Linked DNA regions of Arabidopsis thaliana. The protein of the gene in region 2 interacts with the protein of the main gene of each other region in a biochemical or structural test. Each region holds a gene or a part of one and is shown on either strand. Other genes may lie near its edges. The genes, in order: MYC2, JAZ4 and WRKY57.

Region 1 (5,840 bases), 6.1 Mb from region 2:
TTTCTTTGTTCACTGAAGCTTCAAAGGTATGACCTTTATTGATTTTGTTTTTTTTGGATTTCTCTTCTCGTAAATCAATCACTGAGATTGGTAATATATGGGTTTTAGCCTCTTAACCTAATCATCGAATTAATCATTCAGGTTCTTTGAGTATCGAACTTCTCTGTTTTCTCAACTTGAAAGCAAAGCAAAATAACATTTTTAGTTGTATCGATTAGCTAATTTTGATTCTTTGGAAGTCTTACATTTCTGGTTGATTGCTATTAACGAATCTCTAATTTGGTCCTCCTCTAGTTGCAAAATTACATTTGTGTGTGTTTTGTGTCTTCAGCTTTTGAATTAAGAAGCTTCTAGGGTTTTATAGAGCTTTAGATTCTTTCCTTTAAATGCATTACCTTATAATAGAATTTGGTTTGTTTTATCAGTGTTTTGAGTAATTGGAATTGAAGGAAAGATGAGCAATGGTGGTTTGAGCATTGATGAGAAAGAAGGGTTGATAGACAAAGATGAAGTCATGATCCGTCGAATGAAGAACAGAGAAAGACAACGTAGGTATCGAGCCAGGAAACGGATGCGGGAAGAAGAAGCGGGTAACGATGATAATCTTTCGTTTGAGACAATGGGAAAACAAGAAGAAGAAGAAGAAGAAGACGAGGGACTAGAGTTTAATGGACCTAGTGGTTATGTTGAGAACTTTGTGCGGCGGGTTTATTGCGATAGAAATTGGAAAAAAGAAGCTAGAAGAGCTCATTTGATTATGAACAAGGCTCAAGATAGTTCTTGTGAGTCGGTTAAACGGAAGATAAGGCCGCATCGTCGAGATTGGAAAGCTGAAGCTAGAAAGAAGAAAACTTGATTCTTGAGGATTGGTCAGGTTGCTAGAGGATCTTGCGAGGTGATCGAGGAAGAGAATGCACAAACAAAGCAGATTTCAGATTCAATAATCTCTTCAAGATTTCTATTTTTGTAGATATTGGAAATGATCAAGACAAAAGCAAGTGATTTGCTTTTTCTTGTCTGTGACTCTGTCTGTGTATTCGAAGATCCATGTAGTATTATACTAAGGTTTATGTGTGTTGTGTCTTATTGATTAGACAAGAGGAAACATTATCACACTGACTTAAGAAAACTGTGCATATGGTCTCCCTCTCGACTTAACTTACTTAAGATTTGTCTCTCTTCCTAAGTTTGATGTGTTAGGAGAGACATTTTTGACCATATGTACAAAATCAGTGATCATGACCATTAGTCTCTTATTTTAGACCATTTATACTCGATTTCTTTTTCTTTTTTATCATATGAAATTGTGTAGAAATATTAACTTTTTCAGTAACTAACTCATATTACTCATATCAATATATACAAGTTTACTCATTGAGGAGATACAACAATAAAACGATACAGACTCAAACATAGAGCAAAAGAAGAAACTTGTCGCTCTATTTTAAGATTTTTTTCTTACAAAACTAAAATCTACAAAATTACTGAAGCCACTAAAACGAATTAATTATGATTTGACCCCATAACTTTCTAAACTTCCCAAAACACACCCTTTTAACCGATTTTTGAAATCAAACTTGCTCTGAGCTGTTCTTGCGTATAGATCCTAAAACCCATCTTCACCGTCGCTTGTTGAATCATCAAATCGTTAACCACCGACATACTCGCGTGATTCACTTCCAACTCCAAATCCATCAACGCCGACATCAACCTCGCCGCCGGATGATTCCTCTTACTAGATTCAACTCTAATCATTGCGTCCCAACCAATTATCTTCACTTCAATCTCCATCCCCACCGGTTTAATCGAAGAACACGAAGACGACATATCTCCTCCACTAGCACTCGCTTTTCTTCCGGCGAGCTCGAGTTTCACTTCCTCGAGCTGGTTCTTGATTTGGAGTTTCTCTGACTCTGTTTTGACTACTTTGGATTTAAGCTCGTTGATGTAAGCGATTGCGTCACCGAGTAACGAAGCTTTATCCATTTTTGAAACGTTTGGTACAACCGCTCGTAACGCGTAGAATCTTTGGTTTAGTTTCTCGCGTCTTTGTCTCTCTGCTTCGACGTGGTTTAGTGGCTCTTCTCTACCGTTTGCTGGCTTTCTTCCTCGTTTCTTTGGACGTTTCTCTACTGCTACTTCTTTCACGACGGAAGCTTCTAGATCGGAGTGATCTGATTCTCCGGCGGTTTTATCTCCGAATGATAGAACTTTATCTTCGTTCAAAACCATCGACCTCTTTCTTTTGTTTTCGAATTGTGTTTGACCCGAATAAGAACTTGGATCCGGGTTTCCGGAGCTTCGTTTACCTTCATCGCCGAAGTTTAATATCTCGCCGGATCTTGGTTTCACTAAAGTAGAACTTGACGTCGAAAAATTAAGTTCTCGGGAGAAAGTGTTATTGAATTTCGGATTCTGGGTCTGAGAATGAACCGGACTCGGAGTCGGATCCAGATTCGGGTTTTCGGTTATTGTGCTTGAGCTACCGTTCTCAAACTGAATAGACTTTGAAAAAAGCTGGGAGCTAGAACTTGGAGCTCCGTTACCCGGTTCGTTAGATCCAGGTGTTCCAATCGGGTCATTAATCCACATAGACGGGTCGTTCTCACCTTGATCCGGGTCAAGATTCCAATTAAGACCCGATAAATCTCCAGCTCCGCCGTCGAAATTGAAAAGAATTCGAACCTTGTTAATAAGGTCCGAACTCTGTCGGATCGGCTCCGTTGACCCGACTTCCACAACTCCGTTCGCCGAAGGAATACACGCAATAGTATGCATCCCAAACACTCCTCCTTGCTTAGCCCGTTCACAACCCGACCCGGATAATTGATCTGACCCGGAAACCCAAACCGCGTTACCCGTTGCAAACGCTTTACCAGCTAATCCCGCACCGCAAGCGAAGCTCTGCGTCATCGAAACCAAGAAAAACCATTCCGTATCCGTCACCTCCTCATCAACAGCGTCATCCGACGGAGCAACACCACCGGAGATCAACGAGTTAAGCTCTCTCAACACTTTTTTCCTGTACTCCTGATCCGCCGGAGTAGAAAACGGCGGCGAACTCGATCTCCGTCTCGGGTTTGCTTTATCTTCTTCACCTTTGTAATAACCATCTCCCCATCCGAGCACGGAGGCGCCGGAGAAATCATACGACGGTTGCCAGAATATAGCGTAGGTCCAACCTTCGTGTGTTCCTTCAATCAAAGCTTGTAAACGTTGCTGAAGAGTCTCTTGATTAAATCCCGCCTGTGCCGGAATCTCCATCGCCGGCGTCGGAGTTGTTTCAGTCGTCGCCGTCGTGGTTGTCGTCGACGCCGGAGGCCATAAAGTTGAGATATCGGAAGAGCTCATGAAAGCTTCCATCATAGAAGCGTTGTCGTCGGTGGTCCAAAGATTCATCGTTGGTTGTAGCCGGTAATCAGTCATTCCATAAACCGGTGACCGGTAAAAAAAAACACGTTTTTAATGAGAGAGAGAGAGATAGGAGAAAGTCTTCGTAGTGGAGAAAAATGGAGAGCGTCTGCGATTATTATATGTGTAACTGATCTTGAGGGTGAATGTGTAAATTTGTTGTTAGGGATATTACGTGGCGAGATTTCATTGGGAAACGTGGATGGTTGTAAGAGAGAGAGAAGCTTCGATGAACTCACATCCCGATTTAACCCCATCGACTGTTGGATCGACGCGGTAAGAATTAAGACCGGAAGTGAGTGAGATCGTACGGCTGTTTGGTCGCACGTGTATCACACGCTCTTTAATGATTGACTTAGATTTTAACTGATTGTTTCTTTTGTACCAAAGAGTGAACTGTGAGCTCAGTGGAAAAACACTTTACTATAACTTTTCACCTATTTTTTCGATTTATATTTGTCGTTTTGTCAACTTTTAGAATATATTTTTTATAACAGATTAATTACTTATTTTATAATGTTATTTTAAAATATTAAAAATCAAAATTTAAGATTTGTAATCTCAATTATCAAATACTGTGTCTTAGCTTAATTAATTTTGAGATTTGCATATCTATATAACGTGAGTCGTTGCTAATAATTCACTAAAGCAAAAATTTGTGTTTGTCTTAATATGTTAAATTGCAAGAGAGTGAAATGCAAGTGAGAATCTCTATCTCCAAAAACGATTCTTGTCTGCTTAACTAATTAATTTGTTGACGACTAAATAAACTAATAATTTATTAATTTGACCAAACGCTATTATTAGCATATGCTTTAAGAAAGGAAGAACTCCTTTATAATATTTTTAGTTACATTCACATTTCACGATAAACACATGCTAACAACGTTATATTGTTTGTTTAATTTACAATATTAAAATTTTATTTTTAAAGTTCGAACAATAATTCAAGGATTAGGTCATTAGGTGAGTATGAGTGAATAACATAAATCATTTGGCATCTTTTCCTCCATGCATAAATTTATCACAATAATTTAGCATGCCACCAATATGGTCCCATTACTCCTAACCCTTACCTAAAAACCAAAAATAAAACAAAAAGAATTAAGATAAAATAGTATATATATATATATATATATATACTTCTAAAATTCTATCTTGCGAAGACAAATTCTTACTAACAAAACACTAAACTTATGTTATTGTGTTCTTGTAGATTTACGTTGTCTTGTGATAAACTCAATGATATGTCTTTATACGTTCAGATTAATGATACTCCGGTTGATTTTTCTTATTAAAACCATATTAAACTAAAGAGTATTTTACCAACAATAAATAGTAAAATAATTTTGGGATCTAGTATACCATTTTTTGTAAATAACAACCAAAATAACTTTTGAATATAATTTTCTGAGACATCTGTATTGGGTGAACTCGTCAATGAACGATTCAACAAACAGAAAACAACCAAACCATTGTCTGGTGGTTGTGAGTCGACTTTTGAACATGTTTACTATAAGAAAATTATGAGAAGATGTTACACTAAGTTTTGGCTAGGTGATTCGTGATATCATATTTCATGTCGACTTTGGGGGTGACGCCACTAGAAAACAACAATATCCCACTAAGTAATGAATAATTAGTGGGATAAATATAGAGATTTCCCCCCTTACTTCGAGAAATGAGATAACAAAGATGACAGTTTTCTTGTTATGTTGTTATGTTGAGCTTAGAATGGGGATGATGGAGTGTTCTGACTTCTTAGAGAAAATGGTTGAAATTTTTTAAGTAGAGAGTCGGGTTGATTAAATGAAGATCTTACTATCACCTTGTTGAAAGAGAGGGACATTAGTCGGGATTCGGGAACAATGTGGAACGTAAGATATAAATTTCCCATATGTTATTTCCTAACTGCATGAAATAAAAATATATCTGTTACCTGATCCAAATTTGTATGTGACCAATTCGAGTTATTCTTAGATTTAGAGAAATAGAGAATCATCAATTGGTGTACACTTTCGATAGATCGTCGAACATGATATAATGATCTTGATTGATTTGGCATGCTCGAATAGCTTATACAATGTGTTACATATGTTAGGTTAATAAGTGACTAGGATGACCTTGTAGAAGCGCCTCAATCTATGTATCTTTTGTTGATTGAGTTCCTAAGTAGCAATAATTTATTCATAATTATAATAACATATGTTCATATATATACATATGTATATAAATTTACATACAATTTTGGATTCGCTTACTTTTTAGGAAGGGTCTTTTCAATGATTTTGAAACATGCAGACACAAATACACGATCATATAGACTTGAAATTTTTCTACATGTGAATGTGTAATAATATATTTTTCCTGATATTAGTTGTATTTTCTTTCTTTTTTCCTTTTAAAAAATGAATCTGGAAATTAATTAC
Region 2 (5,614 bases):
ATATTTAATGTTAGAAGATAATATCTATATAAATTATTTGATATGGACCTAATAGATAATTTTTGTAATTATTTACTTCTAATTAAACTAATTCAGATTTTTCGAATAACAAGTATTTTTATTTATTTCTTACTAAATTAATTCAGATTTTTATAATAAAAATATGTTAAAACTTTTTCTTTTTGAATTTAATGTTAAATTATATTAAAAAGAAAAATAAACTTGTTACATATGAAATGCTAATTGTTTTGAGAGTTTTTTTAAAGAAAAGGAACTTCTAATTGTCTATTATCTATTGCCTTGATTCAAAGTTTTAAACCAAACTTGGATGCCATCTTTGAACTTCAATCCTCCACTACCTTGAATTGTGCTCAAACGGTTTCTAAGATTCTTGTCTATAATCTTCACAAGTATTTCCGTCGGTGATGATTGCTCCCCATGCCTGATGCCTCCTCCTATTTTGTTCATTCCAAATTGAGTGTATAGAGTTCTGTCTGTAGTGCATACCTAAGTATGTAGCTCTTCGTTTTGTATAGAAGGTTTTTAGATAAAGTTTTCATAACCTCTGTCCAACTCGCCGAATATCTGTCCGAGAGAATTCCCCTTGTTAAGTCTTCCCATATCTTTTTTGAGTAGGCGCAGTGGAAAAATAAGTGTTCCTTCGTCTCTCTACCTGTTCATTGCAAAAAATGCAACTCGAATCTACATTACATACCACTTTCTCATTGTCTCTCTACTCAAATTCTGTTTTTCACAACCAACCAAGTAAAAAGGGATACTTTGGAGTAACGTATGGGAACCATATCTCATTGTGTCCCTCTATCGACAACTTTGCTAAAACTTGTGTTCAACGTTCTCTTTTTGTTATGTTTTTTCTTTTTAAAATCTGGAACCTATATAAAATCAGCTTATTAGAATATATTTATAAACTTTAATTTTTAATTTTAAAAATATTATATGGTAATGACTTATATAATCTCAAGAAGAATTGTTTTTTCCATAATTCGTATGGAGCCTTATATTTTTTTGGTCTGGCTCTGGTTCTATGTGGCAAGTTTTGCAGCTTGCTCATAAATTCATAATGCCAAGGGTAAGCTCCATACACTCGAACTTGGTATGAACATGGGAGCTCAGCAGTGTACATGTACTTGTAATTTAACCTCATGACTATTAACTCTTACAGTTCCGAAAATAACCTCTTTCTTAGGAACTCTTAGGGTTTATCCAAAAACAAAAATACTTTGATATATTAACAAACGAAATCTAACAACAGTAAAAGAGGAAGTTCTCCGTATGGGAGAACCAATACGAAGCATAAATGCTAGATTTTAACAAATGAAATCTAGCCTTTTTAACAAGGACATGAGCATACCAAAAAAAACTTTAAACGAGAAAAACCATCAATCTCTATAAAAAAGAAGGCCATTCATCCGGGATGGCTACGATCTATAGGTTAATTCTTATCTAAAAAAAACATTAATCAAAGATAAATCAATAATGAGGCACTGCATGACCCAAAGCAAGAATTCAAACTTTGTATGAAGAGGGATCGAGACGACGGTGAAAGCTCTTCTCAACCACATTATTACCATGTTTTGTTGTGTAGAATGAATGAGTCAATGACTCAATGCACTACAAATAATTGCTCTCTTTTAACTTGAGAATAAGGGTTCTTATTATAATGCTTATCAGCTTTAAATATAAAAATAAATAATGTAAAACATTATTTTAAGTTTGATATTAACGACATATTTATATATTTATATATTTATATCCAAGTTGTTCAAAATAAAAATAAATATATATATTTATATCCGATGATTGAATTTCTAATATTGGAAGTTTATTCCGGAACAGGAAAGCAGACGTGGGATATACACATACCGCATCGGATGATTTATATTAAAAAAATATATGTATACATCATTAGAGGAATCATAAATCGGCGGTGTGTGTAACTTCAACTCACGTTTTTCATTTCTCTCCAAAGTCCTTCAATTGTTACTAATTCTCTCTGATCTCTCATTTCTTCTCTTCTCCGGTGACATTTTTTTTCTCCCCCGCGAAAGCTAAACCGTTTTTGTATTCTCAACGATTGATAAGCCTGATGGAGAGAGATTTTCTCGGGCTGGGATCAAAGTTATCTCCGATAACTGTGAAGGAGGAAACTAACGAAGATTCAGGTAATTCATCTTCAACATCTTCCATTATGATCTGATGATTGTGTTTTTCATCTCACTTTTTTTTGTTTCTATTTTTGTAATCTCTTTTTTTGTTTATTGTTCAAGTACATATATATTGTTTTTCTAGCTTGATTGGGAGTCCTACTGTCTGGTTTTTTCTTGAACAAGAAATTTTTTCTTCGTTTTCTCGGGAAGAGAAAAAATAAATTAGGGTTTCTTTTTTCTTGATATATATTTAAGAAATTAGGTTTTAGTACTATAGACAGAAATTTAGCTACTCGAATTTGTTTGACGTAGCCGATGAAAAAACACGTTTTGGGACTCGATAGTTAGAAAATTCATACGTTCACGATCTACTTTTGAAGTTTTTTTCATTAAATATTTTTTGCAAACTACAAATGTACAAGTATACAACTATACAAGCAAACACCAAACTTGTTGACGTTAGTAATTTAACAAGTGTTAGTATTATCTTTGAAAAATAATATTCAGAGAACAAACTTGATTTTCTAGGTGACTAGGTGATGCATGTTTCTAAAGCTGTTGGTAATGTTGAGTGTTTTCAAAATAATTTCGTTTTTTTCTTCAAACAGCCGACACCGACAGAACAAAAATGCTATATTTTTTTTGTTGCTTACAAAATTGATCAATTGGTTTCAATACAATAGTATCTTCTTTAGAAAAGATTGTTTTTTTCAAAGCCGGATTGAATATTGAGAATTAGAACATTGGCTGGTTATTCTTTTTGAAAAGTTTATGCCATTTTTTAAGGTTTATTAAGCAACTTGAATTCTATCAGTATTATTTAAAAACGAAGACGTGAAATGTTGGGAAAAGAATGCGTTATATAGCGACCGGCTGACGATTAGAGATTTAACAACAAATGCAAGTTGAATTATATAAAAGCAAGATTGATTGTGACTTGATTAAGTTTTATTTCTATCCAAGTAGACTCATTGATTAAGTTAGGATCATGTTGGGTATTAAATTTAGATCAAGTTACAATTTGGATGAATAATTTACTTACCCACGAGGAATTTAATAGTTAGTTCTTGTCTTTTTATATTCCGAAACGTGCCATTTCTTGAAAGTATTTGTATGATCACTATTTTCCCCAGTGTGTTTGGCTTTATGCAGATTTGTTCATTGTTGATGAATCTAATGTTAAGAGTCGTCCACTTTAGCATAGCTAGATCTGAGTGTTTCCTAGTTTGATAAAATCTAAAGACATTTGCTCATGTTTCAGCCCCAAGTAGAGGTATGATGGATTGGTCATTCTCAAGCAAAGTCGGTTCTGGTCCTCAGTTTCTTTCTTTTGGGACATCCCAACAAGAAACGCGTGTAAACACAGTCAATGATCATTTGCTTTCTTCTGCTGCAATGGATCAAAACCAGAGAACTTACTTCAGCTCACTACAGGTTAGGCTATTTCTTGAAAAGAAAAAAAGTAGTGATAAAGTGTGATTTAGTGACCTTGTAAGAAAGCTTGGCAATTGGTTTAGTTTCTTCTGGTCTCAAAATTGATACAAAATGATCTCAGGAAGACAGAGTGTTCCCAGGTTCCAGTCAGCAAGACCAAACAACCATCACAGTCTCCATGTCCGAACCAAACTACATCAACAGTTTCATAAACCACCAACATTTAGGAGGATCTCCTATCATGGCACCTCCAGTTTCAGTATTTCCTGCTCCAACCACTATTAGGCATGCACTGCATTCTATCTTCTTCTGTTTAACATCAGATACAGAACCTCTTTACTTCTATAGTTGACTCGAGCTCCTTTATGTTCATCTCCAGATCTTCTTCAAAACCACTTCCCCCTCAGTTGACAATCTTTTATGCCGGTTCAGTATTAGTTTACCAAGACATAGCTCCTGAAAAGGTAACCAAATTTCCTTCAATATGTGTTACATTACAGTCCAAGCTATCCACTGACTAAGTATTCAATCAAAGAAATAAGTTTCACGTATAGACATGCTGAAGTTATAGAAAGTTACTAACCTGGTTTCAACATACAGTATGTTAATGATTCATAGATATGATAAATCTTTGTCCTTACTTCTTCATTTATTTTGTATTCATAGGCCCAAGCTATCATGTTGCTAGCCGGAAATGGACCTCATGCTAAACCGGTTTCACAACCTAAACCTCAAAAACTGGTTCATCACTCTCTTCCAACCACTGATCCTCCAACTATGCCTCCTAGTTTCCTGCCTTCCATCTCTTACATTGTCTCTGAAACCAGAAGTAGTGGATCCAACGGGGTTACTGGACTTGGACCAACAAAAACAAAGGCGAGTTTAGCATCCACGCGCAACAACCAAACTGCTGCCTTCTCTATGGCTCCAACAGGTTATAAATGAAGTCTTAACTCCTATTAATGTTTTGTCATCAAACTTCTATCTTAGGTTTAGTTTGTTATAACCAAAAAATCTTGCTATGATTTAATACAGTGGGTTTACCACAAACACGCAAAGCATCCTTGGCTCGGTTCTTAGAGAAACGCAAAGAAAGGTACTGAGCTACAAGATTATTCACTTATTCACAATATCAAAACACAGGTTTGCTGTATATTGGCTTCGTTTTCTTGCAGGGTCATTAACGTATCACCTTATTACGTAGACAACAAGTCATCAATAGACTGTAGAACACTGATGTCTGAATGTGTAAGCTGTCCTCCAGCTCATCATCTGCACTAAAACCAATTTAGACCCCTCATTGTTCTAAAGGCTTTTTCTTTTTTCTCTGGCTCTGTATCCTATAGACTATAGTATAGTTGTTATAGCTTTTGTTTATTCAGATTTTAGTACACTGGGCTTGTAAAAGCAAGTTATTTATATATATCCTATAAATTTAATTTGGATACTGTATGTTTTGTCTTTACTCTTGCATGTGTATAAAAAACATAAAAGTAAGACTATTCAAGCTCTTCTAGATTTTGTTGAAGTCAACTTTATGTTTATACTTTTTTTTCGATAATTGATATAAAATATTTCCACCAGCAGATGAAAGTCATTTAATTAGTTGGTGCCATGTGCTATATCAGAAAATAAAACATTAGTTTATATACTTAATCAGTCCTCGTCGTCGTCGCCATATATAGTAGATCAAGAATCTTGGATGAGACAAAGAGAAGATCCTGGAGGAGAAAAAGATGACAAAACTCGTTTCCAAGATATTTAAGAGGTTGATTTCTCAAAGTCAGTACATGTCTTCTTCTACTACTAGCAATCTCCCTGCTGCTTCACAAACTTCCAATCTTGAGAGCCAATTGCTTTCTTCAGCTCCACCACCCGCAAGTATCTTGCACATGCTCTCTCTCGTCTAATTTGTGATTAAGTTCTGAATCTTGGTTCTGAATCTTTGTGTAAAAATGTTTTGCAGAGAAGAAAAGAGGGTCAGCGTTGTTATGGTACTTAGTTGGATTCAC
Region 3 (6,421 bases), 8.1 Mb from region 2:
GTTGTTGATTGTGGTTGTCTTGGTTCAAAACCGGAATTTTATATTTTAATGTGAACATAATTGTGCGTTTTGCAAATACTTTTAAGTGGAGTTTTGGCTGATTAAGAACAATTAATGTCGACAATTAGCATGTTGACATATATTTAGTTCACAAGTCGACATTTATTTTCTTGATTTAAAATGTGAACTTAATTTACCAAAACGGAACGGTTTTTACACATTTGCTTGGCGTAGCTAGAAGTTGATATGTACGTCACTTCAATACATTCATTAACTTTGAACGGTTCATTGAAAAGCAAGACTTTGAATGTCTTTGGAAAGATTTAATTTGTTCGGATCAAAACATTTTTTTTTAGCATAAATAGGATTGTAATTTTTAAAATATGTAAACTGAGTAATTCTGATCATTAGACTGGTTTGTCTTCTGATTTAATGATCGTTTACGTCTCTTTTATATTTTGGCCTTTTGGGAGACAACGAGGCACCGCAATGGTTATCGTTTTCATCACGTAAACGAAATTCCGTTCCAAACCAAAAAACGATGATAAAACCATAATATATAGTCTAGATCAAAATGGGTAAAAGTCAAACATGATTGATGATTACCACAAATTTCGTCTTTTTTACCAACGTACAAAACATGTTAGTTACATGAATAGATTATCACCACATTCACAATGGCATGTCATATAAGTCGATGCTGTTCGGATTATCCATGCCTTGACCACGTTATAAGATATTTTCACCAAAGCAATTGATAATCTCTTTTTATAAATTACGCATCGCGAATTCTGTTCTCCAATATGAATTGGGGATATTCTTGCAATCTGTAAAGTTCATATAGATATATATCGCCCTAAAGTTATAAAGATAAAAGTATAAAATAATTGTAAAATTGATGAAAAGAATAATAAAAAATAACGTTATTTCCTCCATGTTCTTTTTCTTAAGTGCACATACATGCATCAAATGTGGGATGGATCCACGATTAAGATTAATGTTGTGTTACATCAAAATTATACCTGGATATATAACTACATATATAACAAGAAATATACATGAAGAAATTGCAAACGTACCGGTGGTGTGCTATTGATCAACAATGAGGTAATATATAGATCCATTGTTACAACGCCATATTGTTATACCCTCCCTGCGCATATTCTGGTCTGCAATATCTTCTATATATAATGAGTTAGCACCTCCTTAGCTATTGCTACGTACCAAGCTTACCTGGGAGATTAAATCAAACAAGGCAGATATGTATATATGTTACATTTCATCTTTGGAAATAGCATATGTTAATGTCAATGGTGTATAATTTGGTAAAGTTGATCTTATAAGAAATGTTTACAAATCAAACTATATATACGTAATTTAATAAATAAAAAATATATGTACACGAATTTACGTATTAAAGGTTTCAATTGTGGAGCTAGCTAAGATGCTCATACGTCTCTTCTACCTCATTTTCTTCCTTTTTCCTTTATTGGCTGTCTTTGGCTAAAACAGAAAGCATTTATTCCTATGACCTAACACATTACCCTCAGAACTTATCCTACATGCTTCGCGTAGTACTTCTTGTAAATATGCTTGTACATATACTGATATACATACACATAGACATAAGAATGATGCACCATGCAGGACACAGAATCACGCATATATACATGCAATTGTGAACACACACAAAAGGTTATAAATGTAAATGGAAAAGCCATTATCGTGACACTGAGTGGAGTAGTTGAGCTTCGATTTAAATATTTGTTGACATTTCTATAAACCCGCCGACCCATTTTGGGCTCGTCTCTATCAGACACAAGTAAGCCTATATATGCCTTATAGCAAGAGGGGTGAGACAAAAGGCACTATTATACCAGTGCTTGATCCTTATACAATCACTCGTAAATATATACATATATATATATATATATATATATCTGTGTGTGTATTTAAATATATATAGAGAGAGGCAATCATCCACTTATTATATATGCATGCATCATCCAACTTTATAATATGTTCTGCAAAAATGAATACTAGAGAAAGAAAAAGCACTGGCCGACATATCTATCGAGTGATCTAAATTGTTCCACAAGAGAGATAATGGTTCGCATCAATGATTAGACCAACACGATATTTGATCCTAATATTCATAAGTACATCTACATCAGTTAGACTTTGTTTCTGTCAAAGCATGGGAATTTTATCCCACCTAAGACATCCCTTGATGTGGATTTTCAGCTTCGGCCTAAAACGAAAAACCGTTTATCCCTTTGTGGTCCATTTAAAGTTTTTAAACCCTTGCATACCAAAGATATATATATTTGATCTCTTTATAGAGTTGATCACTCCTAAGACTATTAATGCACGAACATTAACAAATACAACAAAAAATATATATAACATGTAAGAAATTACCTCAAGGGTTGCGCATAGTTTGAGGTACAATATCACCAAGTAAGCCTTCCTCTGATGGAGTAGACACGGCAGGTGTATCTTCAGTAGTAGGTCGGGGTAACCGCGGTGAAGGAGCATTATTGTCTCTGTGAAGTTGATGAAGGAGTTCTTGGTAATAATAAGGATTTGGTAATGGAGGAGGGAGATGATGATGAGAAGTGAAGCTATGTGGGTCGTGTGCAGTGAGGATTCCACCACGAGGGAATCCAATGGTTTGATGGCAATGTTGTCCTTCGTATGTTGTGATCACTATCGATGGATCATCTGATGAACGTTCTACTCTCTTCTTCACCGTGCATCTGCTGTTTGTGCATCTATAGTAGCTCCTATATATCACAACAACAATAAGAAATATAGGTTGCATATCCGTTAACTAAGAGAATGATCAAAGAAACTGATGACTTATATACGACCTTGGGAATGGGCTATTCTTGACGGCTTTTTGTCCATATTTACGCCATCGATATCCATCTTCAAGATTATCCACATCACTCTTGGTCATGAATGCGAATCTTGGTTGCCGAATTCGCTTTTGAGCCTTCTTCTTCTCCTTCACTCTAGAAAACAAAGTATATAACCATGCATCAATATCACAGAGTAACCAATTAATCAAGCTATCAAATTCAAAAAAATATCACAAAACATGGACTCCAATCCTAATATTGCACAGTCAAAACAACCACGGAAAATAAAAAAGAGAGTTTAAAATAAAACGCAATTAACTTGAACATCTAACCAAAAAAAATTGTTACTTGACTTCAAATGCTTGCTATAACGTTTTCATTAAAATCATCCATTTTACATTGCTAGAACATTTTCATCCATCTTTTAAGTGAAAACCCTACATACGGAACATCTTATGAAACAACGATTGACGAGACAAGAATTGTTAAAAAAATCAGAGTCTTTTTTAATAACTTTGCTAGATAGATACTATGTAGATTAACATCATTAAAACGTGAGACGCTTTTTGACCTAACATTAGTATAATTAAAAAAGAAAAGGAAAGGACGAGGAGAAAAAGAAGATGTAGAGTGCACGCTAATATCACAGCCGCTATTGCGGCGGTGTTCCTCCCATTCCTCCATCATCATTATTATTTACTCCAACTGCCACCGACGATTCTTTACTTAATTACCAATTTCTCCTTCCCTCTCCAAAACTTCTAATGTACTACTGTACGGACGAACTCATCACTCTCTATCTTTCTTGCGATGCCAAAGAAATTACTCAAAAGAAAGAAAATAAATGAGAGAAAAAATGGGGCTTTTGGCTTTGGCCTCAAGATAAAACTAAAACCCTCCCCACCACCAACACTAAGATAATGAAGTAAATTACGATCGGACCCCTGCAAACAAAAACACACACGTGTTTCTCGTCTCAGTAAAAAAAACTCACGGTGTCTCCGGTGGTGGTGTTTTCTCGGCGGAGGCGGTTGAGTTCTCGGCCGGATCTTCACTTGAACTTGAGGTAGCTGAGGGATTATTATTAGTAGAGGTAACGGCAACGGAAACGGCGGCGGATGAGGAACAAGAAGAAGTGACGGTGGTAGGTTTGACTCCGGTGGTTTGTGTTAAATCGGAGTCGAATCTGAGACTGTGAGGATGATCGGAGGAGTGGTGGAGGTTCCAACCGAAGTCAGAGAGGATATTGGAAGTGTCTCGGTCGAAGAAGTCAGAATCTTGAGCTGTGAGTGTGAGTTCTCTCCAAGCAGAGTCGTCGTTGCTCAGATCGGGATTATCAGGATCGTTCATGATGATTGATCGGCGAGAGAAGTAGTGATAAGAGAAGATAGAGAAAGAGAGGTAGAGAGAGAAAAAGAGAGGAGCTAGGGTTTGTTCTTGATTGGAAGAGAAAGAAAGAAAGAAAGAAAGAAAAGAGAGTGAAAAAAAAACTTTGAAACCCGTTAAAGTGCAGTGTCTCGTCAAGGACCGATCTCAGACTCTCTCTCTCTTTGTCTATACGAGAGATTCTTTTAATTTATTTAATTTTTGGAAATTGCGTAAACACAAAATATATTAATAATAATTCAAGAGAGAGAGGGAAAAAAAAGAAGAGAAAGTTGAAAAAATGGAACGTCAACGTCAAAAGGGTCAAGTGAAACGGAACGGGAGGCTGCTAGTAGCGGAGAAAGTGAGAGGCCCACGTCTACTTTTTGAGTCCTATAGATCGACGCCTATTTTTAGACTCGGATTTGCATTTACTCTTCAATTAACATAGATGATGAGACTTCTTTCACTATTGAAATTGGTACCACTAATCCAATTGTCCAAAGAAGGACGATTAGCAAGATTTGTTCGTTTTATAGTTGTTGGTTCATCGAGACTTTTGTTTTTATGTATCTACTACTATTAGTCGATGTTACTGTTGCAACTATGAAACAAACCTAATTGAGTTATTGGTCATTGTTGATGTCGTGACTCGTGAGCGATTACGAAACAAACATACTATCAGAACCCTAGTTCGATCTGGTATAATTTTTGTTGTATGAGTCCATGGGATTCCTTTTTGTGGAAGAAAAGAAGCTTCAACTTAAAAATACCACCTACTTGTTTGTGGTTCGGATGACTGATGATGCGAGGATAAAAAAGCATAATTTTTTTTTTTTTTTTTTATGAAATGAGGTATAATTGAAAATGAATAAAGTATATTTAAATTTTGATTGAAAATTAGTTAGAAAGTAAATAATTGGTTTCTGCGTGTTGTCCGTGTTGGATATGACAAGAATCTAGCGAATGTAAACCACAAACAATTAACCGGCCACGTGGAAATTCTTAATCCTCATAAGTCATATATGATAATTATCTTATAATCATATTCACATGTTATTCCTTATTTATATTCCCATAATTGCAATCCATCAAACAAACGTTTCCGGTCGCACTCAGACTCAAACAACCATATCTTCGAGATTCATGTAAACGTTCCCTGTGGAAAAACTAAACAACATCGTCTTTTAAATAAAAAAGTGTCTATAAAATCAGCAGATGAATCGATTTTTGTTTAAATACATGCACGGATTAAAACGAGACACATGTCTACGTGATGTCTAACCATTATTAGAATATTGTTGAAATCATGTAACATATGTACCACACGCTACTACGCTAACAACGTATATATAGAATCATAGATACAGCTGTAATACAAGTTGTGTTTTAAAATTATGATTATAGAAAAACAGTTAACTTTGTCCATATACACTTTTGTGAAGATATGTGGATATGAATAATTTAGGTTCACATGTGTTTTTTAATCAAAGAATTAAGTATCAATACACATCTAAATAGCAACATTATTCTTTACCATTTTTGGGTTTGGTCTATCGATCTCGGTGCTATTATAACGCTAGCATCTACGTCGAGAATCGTTTGTGCGTACACGCAAGAGGGACACCTACTTGTATTTGCACAATCCATCTATATCCTCGTAGGCCCTTTGATTCGATATACATATCCTCGATAAATTATAAATAGTGGATTATGAATAGGAAGTATCAATAATGGTCCTCTCTAAAAAAAAAAAGGTATCAATAATGGGAGCAAATCATGTTAGAAATCAAATCAACATAAATATTGATTTGTAAATTTATTATATGATATAAACCGTTAACTTGATTACTAATTAAATGGAGTAAGTTTTTTAGTTTAGCTATAAAAAGACTGACCTATGTTTTTTATATATCATTTAAATTTGTTCTCAGTTCTAATGTGATATATGTAAAAAGGAAAATAAAATGATTCAACAAAACCGGTACAACGCATAGAAAATATGGTATTGTCATCTATTTACATATCACTGTTTCTTACCAAAAACAGACCATTATTTGTTTTTGTACCACTATTTCTCACTACTATATCTCTTACCGATTAATAGTATAGATGCAATCTCTTATTGTTAAACATTTTTTTTACCGATTAATTTCCATTGATTTATACTTCATAATCTTATATGCTCAGTT

The links.
Region 1: the proteins of JAZ4 (region 2) and MYC2 form a complex in vitro, tested with the Arabidopsis thaliana proteins (one study listed by BioGRID).
Region 3: the proteins of JAZ4 (region 2) and WRKY57 form a complex in vitro, tested with the Arabidopsis thaliana proteins (one study listed by BioGRID).

The regions. Positions count from the first base shown.
Region 1 is NC_003070.9:11,797,488-11,803,327, forward strand, and holds MYC2 (Basic helix-loop-helix (bHLH) DNA-binding family protein), read right to left. Parts: upstream 3,921-5,840; 5' UTR 3,427-3,920; coding exon 1,555-3,426; 3' UTR 857-1,554; downstream 1-856. Other genes in the region: AT1G32630 (FAM50A-like protein), read left to right, coding at 455-856.
Region 2 is NC_003070.9:17,929,551-17,935,164, forward strand, and holds JAZ4 (jasmonate-zim-domain protein 4), read left to right. Parts: upstream 1-1,839; 5' UTR 1,840-2,107; coding exon 2,108-2,183; intron 2,184-3,049; exon of another isoform or gene 3,050-3,429; coding exon 3,430-3,602; intron 3,603-3,723; coding exon 3,724-3,887; intron 3,888-3,981; coding exon 3,982-4,066; intron 4,067-4,268; coding exon 4,269-4,536; intron 4,537-4,637; coding exon 4,638-4,698; coding exon of another isoform or gene 4,699-4,705; exon of another isoform or gene 4,706-4,777; coding exon 4,778-4,883; 3' UTR 4,884-5,112; downstream 5,113-5,614. Other genes in the region: AT1G48510 (Surfeit locus 1 cytochrome c oxidase biogenesis protein), read left to right, coding at 5,339-5,483, 5,569-5,614. UniProt on the Arabidopsis thaliana protein: Repressor of jasmonate responses. Interacts with and suppresses RHD6 and RSL1 transcription factor activities to negatively regulate jasmonate-stimulated root hair development.
Region 3 is NC_003070.9:26,053,696-26,060,116, forward strand, and holds WRKY57 (WRKY DNA-binding protein 57), read right to left. Parts: upstream 4,689-6,421; 5' UTR 4,215-4,688; coding exon 3,859-4,214; intron 3,018-3,858; coding exon 2,874-3,017; intron 2,787-2,873; coding exon 2,423-2,786; 3' UTR 2,422-2,422; exon of another isoform or gene 2,345-2,421; intron 1,234-2,344; 3' UTR 580-1,233; downstream 1-579. UniProt on the Arabidopsis thaliana protein: Transcription factor. Interacts specifically with the W box (5'-(T)TGAC[CT]-3'), a frequently occurring elicitor-responsive cis-acting element.